Lepisosteus oculatus: one gene and its partner. The protein of the gene in region 1 purifies or fractionates together with the protein of each later gene. This does not show direct contact. Links are inferred from orthologs where the notes say so. Each region holds a gene or a part of one and is shown in the gene's direction. Other genes may lie near its edges. The genes, in order: akap11 and prkar1ab.

What was found.
Region 2: the proteins of akap11 (region 1) and prkar1ab purify together in Homo sapiens (affinity purification with mass spectrometry; 3 studies listed by BioGRID and IntAct, counting the BioPlex papers as one, with this or other methods). This does not show direct contact. The link is inferred for Lepisosteus oculatus from reciprocal best matches to the Homo sapiens genes AKAP11 and PRKAR1A.

What each region holds. Positions count from the first base shown.
Region 1 is NC_090710.1:16,668,351-16,675,718, reverse strand, and holds the start of akap11 (A-kinase anchor protein 11), read left to right. Parts: upstream 1-4,154; 5' UTR 4,155-4,219; intron 4,220-4,488; exon of another isoform or gene 4,489-4,566; intron 4,567-7,368. UniProt on the Homo sapiens protein: Binds to type II regulatory subunits of protein kinase A and anchors/targets them.
Region 2 is NC_090704.1:39,814,884-39,823,054, reverse strand, and holds the start of prkar1ab (protein kinase, cAMP-dependent, regulatory, type I, alpha (tissue specific extinguisher 1) b), read left to right. Parts: upstream 1-5,022; 5' UTR 5,023-5,153; intron 5,154-6,187; 5' UTR 6,188-6,236; exon of another isoform or gene 6,237-6,274; intron 6,275-8,171. Other genes in the region: actin-related protein 2/3 complex subunit 1A-A, read right to left, coding at 37-144, 393-621, 1,807-1,911, 2,469-2,532. UniProt on the Homo sapiens protein: Regulatory subunit of the cAMP-dependent protein kinases involved in cAMP signaling in cells.

The sequences.
Region 1 (7,368 bases):
TATTGTAGAATGCATGATTAATACCTATTTATTACTGTATGGAAGTCACTGAGATGTGTATTTTTGTATTCTGCTGAAATCAGTGGTTCAATTTTGTTGTACATTTTGAAATGCCTTAAAGTAAAGGCTACCAGTTAAGATCTTCCTACCTAAATAAAACTGAATGCATTCATGATGTGTTGTATTTACTCTCTTCAAATGTCAAAACACCCCAGGCCATGTTCATAAAGCCTTTGCAGCTGTTTTAAATGGACACCTGCTTTTTCTTGAAAGAAAACCACAAAAATTAGGGGAGTGAGATAAATCTTTGTGTACACGTTTTAGAGTTTCTGAAAGACATTTGTTTTAATTTATATTACAGGTGGTAAAAATAACATTAAATTCCACCTACTGTCTGAACATTTGGTCTTAATTTAATTAAAATAAAAGGATATTAGAGCCAGAGGCTATAATAATGAAATATATAAATTCCCCAAAAGTGATTTATGCAAATTTATATAATACTTAAGTATTAATGTAATTTCAATCTTATTTTTCAGCTAGTTCCATCCTTCTATAGGAAACATTAAGTATTTTTAAAACACATAATTTCAATTAATCCCAGTGCCTTTTCCCAAACAGAAATTGAGCTTGGTTTAAAATCAGTATATGGACACATGTGTATAGAAAGGAAGATATAATAGTAAGATTGTAAAATCCTATCGTAAAAATAGTAAAATCCTCGAAATTTGGAATTGTAAGCATTATAAGGCTGCAGAAAAACAGAAGAGTATTTCTTATTTAGTACAGTTATACACTGACAATGTGAGCTGTAAACCCATCATAGCAAATTAATGTGCCTTAATATATTGCAGTATTAAAAAGGGCAATAAAATATTTCAAAAGAAGGGATCAGGTGGTTATGAGAGTAAAACACTCAGTGTTTTTGAATAGTTACTATAGGCTCCTGCAGAATGTTTATGAGCTGAAGAAAGCAGATCACAAGATCGAGTTGTGTAATCTGTAAGAATATCCCTCATAAGAGGCTTGAGAACCTATCCACTGATTGCAAGGTATGAATAAATGTGAGCATCATGAACTTAGAAATATATGCTATTTTGACAGATATCCCATTTCATAATCATAATAATAATTCCTTCCACTTCTGTAACACTCTTCTGGACACACCACTAAAAGCGCTTTACAGGTAATGGGGACTCCCCTCCACCACCACCAGTGTGCAGCCCCACCTGGATGATGCGATGGCAGGCAGTGCACCAGTACGCTCCCCACACACCAGCTATCAGTGGGGAGAAACCGGAGAAAACCCATGCAAACTCCATACAGATAACATCCCGCATCCAGAACTGAACCAAGGGGCCCTGCGCAGCAAGGCATCAATGTTAACCACAGCACCATCGTGTCGTCCAACATACAACTAAAATAATAACAAATTATTGGCAGAGAGCAGAAACTTTGTTCACCCTGAAACTTCTTATCTCATGCTTTTGGATTTGTACAGTAAATAAAATATGCTGACTGAATCATTTTCCAAAAGATATGTACTGTAATGAAGACGGAAATATTCACCAAAATACAGTACATTAAACTACACTGAAAATTGAATGCACAATATCCTGTAGTTCAAAGTCACAGTGTTATACAAAAGGGAAAGCAACATATTACAATATAACACAGCAATCGCCTTCAAGGTGTGGTATTTACAACAACTGTGTCATCCATTTCCCAGTGTGCCCAGTGAACCCATGTGATGAAAATCTCAGGCAGCCAGGAAGGGTTGCAGGTTGCGTGTTAGGACTGTTCTTCTCAGCTGTAGTCTGTGCTCGTGCAGTTTTTCATCTCACAAAGGGAGGCTCCAATACGTGTGATCTCCCCTCTCGTGTTCCCGCTGGGGCAAAAGGCTATGGGTTCAAGTCGCCAATTCATACATCACTGCGGTGTCCCTCACAGAGACATTTACTCGGATTACTCTATAGTCACGCCAAGTGAGAGCAAATACTGCACATGGGTTAACAATGAAACAAGTTGTGTTCATTGTGTTACGATTTCTCATTCCAGCTCCTCTTACCACAAAACTAAATGAAAAATCTTACTACAGTCCCGTCTCCTGTAGCACTGCTGATTCAACGAAGACCAAATTCAACGAAGACCAAATGAATATTCATACACAATTCTTATCTATCTCTTAGGCCGTGCAAGATGTTGGAGCAAAATTTGACAGCCTTAAGAGTTTCAGGGGTATACCAGTTATACCCATAATTCACTGTGGCTTTTAACGCCCACACTAACCTCTGCTGGTGTCCCAATCTAGAGAGATAGGGTAGGTTAAGCCACATTGTATATACAGTATAAATGATTGATAGAGAAAGGTAGTTCTATGTCATATTGAAGGCTTAAATGATTAAAAAATAATTTCAGACAAAGGCCTTCTGCAGCTGGTTAAACAGCAGCGAAAGGACTTTTGTCAGACACCAATGTTTCCTTAATCATTCCAACCTTGTGTAGATCGGAAGAACTTTCTTTTCTTTATCAGCCTCTGATAATATACAGTCCCATAAAGAAAATTTAACGTTGAGCTAGAAGTTTACAACACATGTAATTCAGCCAAGCTTTTATGCGTGACTTAGTGCCTTTGTTCTCTCTCATTACCCCTCAGCAGGACTGGAATTATAGACTGCACTTTCAAAGGACCACTTTATTAATCCATTATCCTCTGAGACTACTGGACTGACAGCACAGCCATTCAGTCTGGAGCGAAACACTGCTGTGACATAGTTGTAAATTTAATATAAATCCTATGTTGTAACTGTCTGTCAGGATGGCACAGAGGAATTTAATATGACAGATTGGTGGCTTCTGCTGATACCCAAATTCATAGCTAGGCCGTTTTCAAAGTGTTTTGCTCTAGAGCTAAACTTATCCTCCATATTCTAAAACTAATCTTAAAGATATCTGAGGTGCAAATTTGATTATTTAGATGTTCAAAAAAATATCTATATAATAAGTGAAATATGCACTTGTTTTACATCAACACATTTATTTCAATTATTATTGTCTCCTTGTGCGTGCGATGAACAGGATGTAGTCCCGCCTTGTACCTCTTCTGCTACCAGGGTAGACTCCACATTGCCACAACTTAAGAGAACGCCAGGAAGGGTCTTTCCAATATTGGCTTGATGCAGGTAAGAACATACAGTCAGAAAAATTACAAATGAGAGGAAGGCATTTGGCCTTTAGTACTTATAGGATCCCATTATATCATCCAGGTGTGTCTTGAAGGAAGCTATGGTATCAGTTTCAACAACATGACTTGTTCCACACTCCCACAATCCTTTGTGTACAGAAGCACCTCTTCTTTACCTTCTGTGTCCCCACAGAACACATCCTCTGCTTGCATCCAACGTCCAGTGGGAATCCAGAAGCTTTGTATCGGGTGCCATCATACAGTAGTCTTCTCTGTTCAAGACTACACATACTAATTTCTAGTCTCGCCATTCCAGACTGTAATCAAATTATTTGCATATGAATTAATGATATATTATATACTGAGGCATAAAAATGCATATAATTCTTATTGAAACTTAGAAATTCCAGAATTTTAATGACTCTCATGGTATGTAGTTATTTGTTACACTTATGCTTTTGATATATTCAGTATTCTTTGATGTGATACAGTAAATTCCGTAACATTTAAAAAAACATAATTTACACCTGCATTTCCTTTATTAAACTTTTAGTTACAGTTTATCCTGATATGAATACATTTTAATGCTACTGTGCATCAATCACTTCACATGGTGGTCACCAAAAATGTTATTTTTTTAATGCTATAGTAACATTCAGAAATATTTATTAATATATAACAACAGAGGTTGTGTTAGGGTTAGAGTAATGATGAATAGTTAATATGCATTTGAAAAATGACCATTAAATTATTATGAATGTTAATAAGTCGCATGTAGCCTTAGGGATATTTTATTCCTATAAAATCTTACCTTTTTTTTACTTTAAAGGGATCAAACTACCACCTTTGAAATGCAATTCAAATTAAATGTACATTTGAAGTAATCATTAAAAGTAGTAAAACATTTACACGAAGTAATCATTTTCATAAAAATCTTTGGGGTACGTCATCGGTTTGACAACAGCTACCTTGTCCGGCACAAAACTTAAACAGACTCTACGTCCGTATCCAGGCTCACAGAAGCTACAATATACTGTACGTATACACTATGTTAACAACGCAATAATTTATTTTTTCCATGTGGTTGTAATTTGAACATCAACCAAACGTCTGCTTTAGCTTTTTAAAATCTTAAAATTGTGCCCGGCAAATTGTAAAAAATAAGCCGGAATGTTGTAGTTCCGAGGTGTTAATTTTACACTGGTGGAAAATTATATAAATTTGCAACCTTTTCGCATTCCCATCATCGTTTCGGTGTTCCTTAGTAACCCTGGCAGCTTTCTCCCACGAATATATCATCATTCGGACTGGATTGCTTCGGCCTGGTTTCTCTTGTTTTTGTGAAATGAACTGACAGCAGCCGCGGGTCCGACGGCGAAACGGTGAGAATCATTTTTGAGATGAAAGTGATTACACATGACACACCTTTTCTTGACAGGATCGCACATCTGTTGTGGTAAACGAACATGTGTTCTGGTCATGCATGGGTAAATGACGGATGATACAAACGGGTCTGGTTAATGTTGTTTTTTTTCAGGCCGCGGCCCTGAAAACAATTCTTGGAAAATAAAAGCTTTAATGGCAGTCTTTCCGTTCCCCTGCGCGGGGTTGGAAGGGAAAGGGGGTAGTGGGTTTGTATTGAGTCGCTATTCTGTGTCTGGACGCTGATGGTTAAAAACTCGACATGTTGCATTCGCTATAGTGTCCTCAAAGACTGGAAATCCAAATAGCATCGATACAGTACAGCAGCAGGGAAGATGCGACACTAATTCATCCACAGTAGGAATGCGAGTGGGTTGATCGCTTTTCCCAGGGAGTGTAAACCATCTTCCCCCCAGACTGGAACTTTTGCCATAATTAGGGAGCACCAGTACCCTATGTGCCTGGTTTGTTTTTAGATTGCGTTTATGCCGTCGCTAGTATGTTATCGGGTGTTTCGGCAGTTTTCCGTCTTCGGTTTGTGACGCCCAGCGGTTTTACAGCATGCCGAAGTGCGGCATTAGCGCTGGCTGCTCAGATTAATTCCCCTTCACAAAGCGTTTCCCCTGCAACGGTCAATACACTATTCACATGAGGTGAAGGTGATAAGAAATCTACTTTTTTTGTGCTGTGTAATTAAGTGTAGTTATTAGGCTCCATACATTTTTTTTTATTTTCATATAAACTGTGAGCACTGGGATATTAGAATTCATGCTGTAAATAGGATGTGCATTCGAAAAGGTGTCATTAATCAAGGAGTGTGGAGGGTCTTGTGCTATAGAGTAGCGTGGAGCATCGACCCAAGTGTCTCTTTTGAGTGTTAAAAGTCAAATACATCTCCTCAAATGACACCATTTTCATTGCTTATTCTGATTGGACTGTGACTGGATGTCCGAGGTTGTTTGAATTGGCATACAGTACGAAACTTAGTGCGATTAGGAAATACAACCCGAGGACTGTTGTCTGTCCTCTTTCACATATTACTTTCTAAGTCAGATGGACACTTCCAGCCTGATCATGTCCAGTTGCTGCTGTGCAGAAAGATGTGCATGTCTCATGTTGTTGGAGAGTTTACTGTTATTGCCGTTTCTAAAGTTGCAGTATGTTTGCTACAAATTCTAAATCCTAAGTACAGTATTTCTTAGTACAGATCCTGGTTTCCGTTCAGTATCCACCCCCGTACTCGCGCCCACACTGACATAAAAACTGTACACGCACGCTTGAAAGCCTGACCTATATTAGTGTTCCTATGTTTGTAAATGTTTGCTCATACAGATGGTTGAACAGACATTCTCTTGAGCTTTTTGAAATAGACACATGTGAGCTCTACCATGCAATGTTAGTCTCACGCATACAGTTAGTGACCCCTGTTCTCTGCTTTCGGAGAGAACTTTGCTACTCGCAAACACACATACACAAACTAACAGGGTTAACAGAACATAGGAACGGCCATCTTATACAGTTTTTTGTCTCATCAAAACTTAATTAAAGCCTAAATAACTGTCGGCTTAGAAGAATACATTTGCGTAGTATTTTAAGCGCCAGTGAGGGTCACAGAGGTGTTGGCTACTTTCTTCATTTCCAGGAGCGGCTGGCTAAGGTTTCAGCTGATTTAGGCCAATTCTCATAAATACAGGGCATCAAATAAACAGTCGCTTACTTCTGTTGACTCATCGTTTGAAAGAGAATCGTTTTGGTTACGTGCCATGGCTTTGGAAGAGATGCGCACGAAGCTTTCTGGCGGGGGTTTTTTTCTCACATCTGCAGCTTCCTTTGTTTGCAATGGGAAAGAATTCCAGGCAGCGCTGTGGTGCTGGTTGGATGTCTACTGTGTCACAGGACGGTTTCTTCACTCTGGGAATGACGTCCAATCTGTTTGAGGCTGCACATTTTTCCTTGCGCGCTCACGGGCGATGGATGTGAACGCTGACCAAAGATAGATTCAGCGACTGGACTATTCACACAATGATTAATAGCACCTAGTTTTACAATGGGACAGTTCTGGTGTGTTGTTTAAATCAGTTCTCTTGCTAACCACTATGAAAAGGTGAATCATGCTAAGCATTGCCATACAAAGCATTCAGTACGTCATTCAGTGTGCTGTTACTCTTTTGCTGTCATTCGTAATCAAAAACAGGGAAAATACTGGGGTAGGTCCTTTCTGTATTGGGAACCAAAAACCACTGTTTGGTAAGGTTTGCTTTTTTACTCAAAGACTGCTGGCTGGGGTTTGTTCCTGGAAAAAGATTTGGCTCATCTCTCCTACTGTAGAATCGTAGACACAAAAAGATTTAACTCTTTGATTGTAATGTCCCCTCACAGTACTCAGTATTGTCTGGGAAGCTATTATTATTATGAATGTTTTGTCATTTAAATTCATGTCACTAACAAAACATATGGCATCCTGGTGGGTCTGGCTGATACTGTTTTTCATTTAAAATCTTCTAATGGCAGTTTTCCTTTATATAATGTTTCTGAAATTTGTAATACTCCTACTGTATGTGCTGCACATGTGTCTAAATGCATGCTCTGTTTGTTGCCACATTTCCTCCAGTCATTTTTAGGTACTGTACGTACAGCCCAGCAGGGTCCTCACCTGAGATGTTGATAAAGGAGTCTGTTCCTCTGCTACTGCACCGGGCACAGTTTGCCTCTTGACCTAGGACGTAGTTGCTGTAGGCAGGATCACTGCTGTTAACAACATT
Region 2 (8,171 bases), on another chromosome or scaffold:
GTGCTGTTGTGGTGGGGGGGGCTCGGAGACCCTGACCTGCAGTGAAAGTCTGCAGAGCCAGCAGCCAGGAGGAAATTATTGGGGTGCCAGTCAAGACTCAGAATGGTGGAGCAGATAGGTTTCTTGATGTGCTTGCTCAGCCACCTGGAAATCAAATGAAGACATTATCTGTGAATATCAAGAGCCACAGATGGCTAGAATTTACAACAGCAAAAAAGAAAGACTGAAATCACAGCTAGAGGTTTCTGGTTGGAAACAGAATGCGAGTTCTTCTTTGTGTGGCAGTACAGTATGTCAGAACACAGTAGCAGAGTCTGCATTTCTGCCAGCTTAAAAACAGGTGACAAAAAACAGAGGCGAAGAAAATCACACACCCTCTTCATCGCACTCACCAGTTGTTCCCCTTATCAAAGTAACAAACGGAGATGATTCTCGCCCCACTGCCCAAAGCAAATTTGTTCCCTAGTGGAGACCACTTGACACAGGTGGCGGCCCTATTGATCCGAACCAGCACCAGGGTGGGCTTCCATACCATACCCTCCTCTTTCAGGGTCCACACATAGGCATTTCTGTCAGAGGCACAGGTCACAATGAGGTTGGACTGGGGAGCCCAGTCTATACCTGAAAGCACACACACAGGCTAAACCTATAACATTGCCCCAGTACTATGATCATAGCTGATCATGAGTTGTTCCCAAAAACTAAAGCATTCAGATAATGAAATGTTACATACAATCATGATACCAAAAGAAAGCTTTTTGACGTTAACATGGCAATGATGTTAAATTATGTAATGTATTTGAAAGACCTCATTTAGAATACTGTACACAGGGTTAGTCATTACATTTCAAAAAGGACATATCTACACTGGAGTCAGTCCGAAGAGGTTAGAGAAACTGAATTTCTTCAGTCTCGAATGAATTCAAGTGTGAGGGTTCTTGATTTAAGTATTCCAAATTCTCTAAGGTAATGACGAAGTCAAATCAATGGACGTCTTCACAGACAACTGTGAAATGTGACCCAGAAGACATCAGTGAATACCACCAAGGGGAAGTTAATGTAAGAAAGAAAAGCACTTGGCTGTACACAAAGCGTTGTGGGGAACTGGAACAAGCCATCCAACCACAAAACTTTTATTTCATTTCAAAACATAATACACTCAGCAATATTTATGTTAATTCCCTGATTTCCGTCTAGAAATGCGTGGATAGGGTCCTCTGATCTATCACCTGCTAGCAACCAAGAAGTTACTTGGGCCAAACAGACAGCCTGTTCTGAAAGTCTTATGTTCTTGAAAGAGTCTGTTTCTACCTCTTGATCATTAACATTTTCTATATTATCCCATGTTTACAATAAAGTGCAGTGAAGACTTGAAATGTAAAAACACATGCTGTATGTACAGTATGTGTGAACTGATTGAATAGAAGTCAAAACAAAGTGCTGAAGAATGTACTCTGTGCAAGAGAGAATGCTGTGTCCAAAACTGACAGAAAAGGAATTTATGTTTTAAAAGATAGCAAGGTTATACATAATGAGAAACATTACAGTCCTGACTTCCATGACTATTTTTAAATTTTGTTTCTTTATTTAAAACTTGAGACTTTAATCACAATTGCATATGTACTGTATATACAGTATAAAAGTGTTTCAGTTACCTTAATACAAGGATGCAACAGCTGCATGTTTTGATTTTCTATGTATTTGGTTGCTGCTCTGTGATGCACAGAGGCCACACTGCTTCAAACAATTAACTATTTTAAAGGTTATGTCGATTCAGTCATAGATTCTTCTCCAAAGTTGCACTACCTGTGATGCGACCACTGTGCTCTTTCAGCTCATGGATCTTATTCCATTCTTTCCCCTTTTTCTGGTAAATGTGGACCTCATTATTGTTGGGACTGATGGCGATTTCTGCAAGGGGAAAAAATATTAAACATATTGCATTGCTTACATACAGTATAGTATTTACTGAACTAACGATTCTGGCTCTCACGTCGTGGCATTTTAGCCCATTAAAAGTGTGATATCAAGTTCACTAATCACCGCCCCACAAAAGAAAGATGAGACTTTTAAACACTTTTCCTCACCAACAGAAAAAAATCTATTCAGTTTCAGGCTATTTTTCCCTTATAAGTAAACCATCTAAACTTTTTCATGAGAAAACATACTCAAAGACCTCCTGAATGTCTGTTAAGGCAGAAAGACATAGGCATGTAACAGAAACTATTTATGGCCCAAATAGAAAGATACAGACAAAAGTGTTGAGCAAAGACCTAAAATGGTGGTGCTGGATATTACGTGGAATAGGCTCAGGTTCCCTTGCGACTCTGTATTGGATACAGCAGTTAGAAAATAGATCGGTAGATAGATATTACACAGGCTTGACAAAATCATTGTACAATGCATAGAGGATGGACCCCTAAGACTGGAGTAGGATGAAGCTGCTCGACCAGTTTTTTTTTACTTACGAGTTCGGTCTTTATTCCAGGCATGACATGACAACGGATCAAGTCCGAAGCTGTACAGAGACATGTTTCAACAAGGGAGGCTCTTGGAATGTGTTGTCCAGGATTTTGAGCACCCTGCAGCAAGAGCACAGAGAAGCACATCAATAAAGCAAGAAACCCTGCCTACTTTTGACAGCACCCTGCATAGCCTTAGAACTTCATGAGCATATTTTTGTATTCACTGAGTCTTTCACATCAGCATGGAAAATATAACTGTTTAAGACTATTGTGTGTAAAGTTAAGCTCCTTTTGAGGGAAATTAAAAGTTTAAGAAATATAAAAAGACCTTTATAGTGGTCTATTTATAAATAACCTGAATAATAAGCTTGTATTCCATTCCATGCAAGTGTAATCTGCAGTATTCTTGGCTCTAGTGACAGTGGTATAGCTGTTTTTACACAGTTCTTACTTTTCATGACAAAGCAAAAAAAGTTGGGTCAATTGGGTTATAAATCTTTACTTGAATATCATACATTGGGTCTTCATTCCAAATTTACATTCAACAGATCTTTAGTGCAAAGCTGGGAGATTGTGAGGCACTGAGATCGAGTTGCCTTTAAGACAGAACGACACACCTGTTTTTTTTCCCTGTGTTTTTCCAATGATAAGATTGTGCCAGTTCTTCTCAAACTTTGCTTTTTCTTGCACCCTGTTAAAAAGCAGGCTAACCACCATTTCGTAACTGTGAATTTAGATTTCAGAGCATTGAATGATATATCTATATATTTTTAAATTAGTCAAAGCTGTGTAGCTTAAATCTTCATGGTGCTTTCTTATCTCACTATTCTCAGATGTTTCTTTTATATTGATCCTTACTTCTTTAGAACTAAGACCCTAATGTATTGTGTGATAAGATCATTTAATTGACACAAGATCCACAGAAAACACTTAATTGGTCATATAACATTTCCTGTATTAGGAATTTGTCATTTTGCATACCCCAACTTGCTCTGCATGAGACACACAGACAAGGAGAGAAGCTTGGGGTCAGAGCACAGGGTCAGCCACTTACACAGTGCCCCTGGAGCAGTTATGGTTAAGGGCCTTGCTCAGGGGCCCAACGGAATAGGATTCCCCTGCCAGCCGCGGGATACGAACCAGCAACCTTCCAGCCACAGGCACAAATCCTTAGCTACAGAGCCACTGCACCAAACTGGGTATTAATATAAATACAGTACACTGTGCTGCCTTATTAGCCTGACAGTCCCATAAAGATGTCCACTGTTGGACCTGGTAGTTCGACACAGTCACACTTCACTAAGGGAACACAGTACACTGTAAGTAGGTGTTTTACATGCACCTAAGATAAAAAAGAGTATTGTTCGTGTGGATTTAAAAAAAATGCGTACCTCCCCAGAAGCAGACACAATTTACAAAAGAACATGAAATGGTAGTGGCACTCACCCTGCAGGGACGGCGGCTGTATGGCAGTGGAGTGACTGAGTCAGTAATGCTGAGGACACTGGTTTGCCTAATTTCCCCACACCTGAGAAATTCTGTGGTTGGGCTGTATTTCTGGACTCCAGACAGTCAATAGGAATGGAGGTGTGTTCAGGGACGGGCCAGCACAGGCAGCCGTGAGGGAGGAGAGAGATGGGAAGAGAAGGAGGGGGTTGTGTTTTCAGCCCTCGGCAAACTCCTGGAATTTGCCAAGAGGAGGAGTGGTGTGTTTAAGTACAAGTAAAAGAGTATAATTCTGACAGGAATGCCAGTAGCAACATGGTAAACGCTGAAGACTAAATCAACTCTCTGTTTATGAACTTCCTCAAAGTGTCTATTTATAGTCTCTGGTATGTGTTTCTGTGTTGCTCTGTAGTCCATTGGGATGACTTTAAAAGCATGTGAATATTTCAGCCTGGTCTCTTTGTAGTTTTCTCTGTTCAAAACTAAAAACAAAATTGTTTAAATAATTTATTTTTGCATTTTAGAGAAGAACACTCAGAACATTTTGGCCTGGGAACATGAATCACCCCCAAGGAAGGATTTTCAAATCTGTTTAAGAAAAATTGCTTCTTCCGAGTAGATTGAAATAGATTCCTCAGATGTAATTTAATAATTTGACACACAAATGTGGCTTGAAATGTTGTAAACATGCATTAAAACATTTTTAAAGAATAGGTATATATTTCATAATGCTGTTATCCAATGGTTTTGTCAGTAAGTAAAGGTGATATCTAAATTTCAACACTACCTCAGTTAACCTTGATCTGTTATTATGGGATTGGGTAAATGGTTAAAAGAGTCTTCTTTAGAGTTGAATCACAGCATATGTATTTTAAATAAAATGAGAGAGATTAAAAATACATATTTCCAACGGAGAACCACGTTTTTCGTCTCCACAAGAAGGACAATAATAATATACATTAACCATTGCTGTGTTTTACCACTTCCGGTACAAATCCTGACGCCAGATTCTTGTTCTGACGTCATGAATTCGTTCAAACTTGCCCTTTAAGGTTGCTAAGGGTTACAGCTATCGTGTCAGAACGAGGCCAATTGACGTCAATGGTCGCTTGTGATTGGTCCTGCCACGTTTCCGGTGGGGCAGCCATCCAAGGACTGGGGAAAAGCGAAGCGAGGAGTTTTTTTCAGTGTCAGTGAGAAAATATAGGCCAACGAACGGAAACGTAAATTCTAACGGCTTGGGTAAGTCGTTGGCCGTCTGTTTTGTAAGGCTTCTTTGTCAGATACTGGAGTTATGTACGAGAGCGAATTGCGAGAAACCGCTAGTCGTGTCGTCTGCGCCTCCCGTTTGTTATGATAGCTTTTCAAGATGGCGTCACTAGGAAGAGGGCTCTGCGGCCCCAAAATATGTTTACGCGACTCTCAAAGTTCTCTTTACCCTCGCGAGCCTTCGCGTAAGAAACTTCTAAAAGGATTTGTATATTTATTGGATAGTTACGTGTCCTATTGAAGATGGCGTTTCTTCCGTTAATTTGATACCCCCTCGTTTGATGGCGAGAGCCTGCTGTCAGATGCTGTTTACAGACGCTCACCGCTATGTTGTCAGTTCGGTCAAAGACTCTCGACTGTGCCCCATTTTATTTCGGAAATCGCGACAAATTCGGAAGGCAAAAGACCGTTGAAATTACCTAACGTTTATACTGCCTTGGAGACCCTAATGTCTCCTGTTTTATATTTGATGTGGAGTGATCTCGATGTTGATGATTATCTTACATGCACAGAGCAGTGTGTCGGTTAACTTTTTCCTCGTTTGCTGTATAGATTTTTATAATGGCATCAGTACCCATTGAAATGTAGGAGTGTGTTTTTTCCACTCATAACCAAAAAAAAATAAAACAAGTACTTGACAAGTCGTTGATGTTTTAGCTTATCATGGGTTTACATTTTATGCTAATTATTGAAGTTTATAATCACTTTAAATGTTTTGTGACAGTCACATAAACGCTTACAGCTGACACCGGTTTTGTTGAAATTATAAGATAGAACCCAGTTTAATATGCAAAGTCGAGTTATACAAACATGCAAGCGACGTATAACTTTTGATATTCTGCATGTTGTGTGTTTCAGTTTTGTTGTATGGTGTTGAGATCATTTTGTCAAGCTTTGATATACAGTGCAGTGCTGAGACAGTGGCCTGTCTGATAGATCATTAAATTCTTTATTCGTTTGGAAAAGTTATATCGTGCAATTTAGTGAAATATTTTGTTTTTAAACAGATCCTGATTTGCAGCTAGAGGTCTGGCGGCCAGGTCCTGTGATATCGTGGTATAACACAGATCGGAGTTTTATTCAGTAGCAAGTCGGTGAGATAAGAAAACAAAATTGGAATATTTAAAACAACACAGCCCCCTTTACTAATAAGATGGAGCATGAGGTGCAGTTAGACAGTTCAAACTGTAATGACCTTTACTTGTTTAATAAAAATTGTTTCTAAATATAACGGAGAGAGGGCAGAGTATCTGTATTTAAATGGATTTTCAACAAGTTTTAATCTATTTTCAAGATTTCCATATTTTTTTCCTGTATTTGTCGGGTGTTTTAGCATTCCGGCTATTTTAGTTCTTTGTTTTTTTGTGCAGGAAAACTAAAATTGATTTTAAACTGTTTAATGAAATTAGCAGAAAGTTGTTTTAAAAATTAACTTTTTGATATTTAGTAAATCAATAGGGTTTGTTAATATTTCTGCAATGAAGGAATCCTCTATAGTTTCCTAATTTACTACTGACTTATGTGGCTTCCATTTTTATCCAAAGCAATTTATGTTTGCACCTGTTTATACAGCTGGGTATTTTGCTGGAACAGTATATATGAAATACCTTGCACAAAGGTACAACAGCGGTGTCTCACCTGTGTTGAAGTGTACATAATGATCTGGAACAAAATTATTTTTTTCTTTACAAAAATAAACAGCAGCAAATGGCAAGATTGTGAATATTTGAAAATAGAAAATATTTAAAATTTAAGTGTCATTTTTTGTCTAGATACATCTGTGAATATGATCAACTACCACAAAGGCTTATGAGTAATTTATGTATACATAAATTGAATTCTACTTTTGATGGGAGTTTTCTGCCAAGTTTTACCCACTCTAAGCAAGAAACACAAGTTCAGAGGAAGCAGACCTTAGATTTACATGTGCTTACTATGTTGTATTTGAACATGTGACATTATATACACATGTATATATATTTATTCACTTGCATATATCGTTACTGATTGGCATGGATAATTATTTTGTGTAAGGCAGGAAACTGAGCAAAGATTTAACATTTTTGCAGCCCTGCTTCAACATTTTTCTATACTCATTTCATCCTCTCTGTAGTGCTTTTAATCTTTTGTAACTTTTTAAGTTTCTTATATTTGATTTAAGAAAATTGGTTTAAGAACTTTTAATACATTATCTTAATTTTATTTTTGACTATGTACATAAATAGGCAAATCTTAAAGAGATTCGTATTGACCTGAATCCAAGCAGCAGTGCACTGTTAAGCAAGGTGGTGCTCTAATAATGATCTGTTGAGGAACAGAATGAATTAGTACACTCGCTTTATCTGTTTTGTTTTAGTAGCATGTTCAAATAAGTAATTTCTTAATATCTGCTTAATGATTTAAAGTTATGGAATTATTTTCATTGGTTTTAAGAAAGTTGCTTTTGGGTTTAAGTATTAAGTATATTAAGACAAGCCAATAAAGACAGGCAGGTCTTCAACATTTCTAATGACATTTCAGCACAGTTCACTTTGTTGCAAACAAAGCTAAAATGTGAAAAAGAGGCCTTCTCTGGCATATGTTCAATAGCTTACAGAGATCATGGGTCAATAGTTGAGGCCACCATTAAATCTATCCTGGTATGGAGCAGTTAAAAAAGAGCTGTTTCCTTTTTTGGTTGATAGTAGCTCCGGATGTACTGCACGTTCATGCTGTTGGTTGACTTCTGTGGTTAATAGATAGAAGAGAGATGTTCAATGGAAAGAAACTTTGCATTTATTAACATGCTGATCTGAAAGCCACATTTTTGATAGTATTTTGTGTTTAGGTTCTCACCAAAGATCTTGCAGTCTAAACAACAGGAGTATGTTTCAAACCTGAGCAAACTTTTACACTTCATATGTAAGGCTACATGAACAGTTTTGTCTTAAACACTTTCACTCTTTGTATGAAGGATTTAAGTGTCTTCACTTACATGTTTTGTGCGTTATC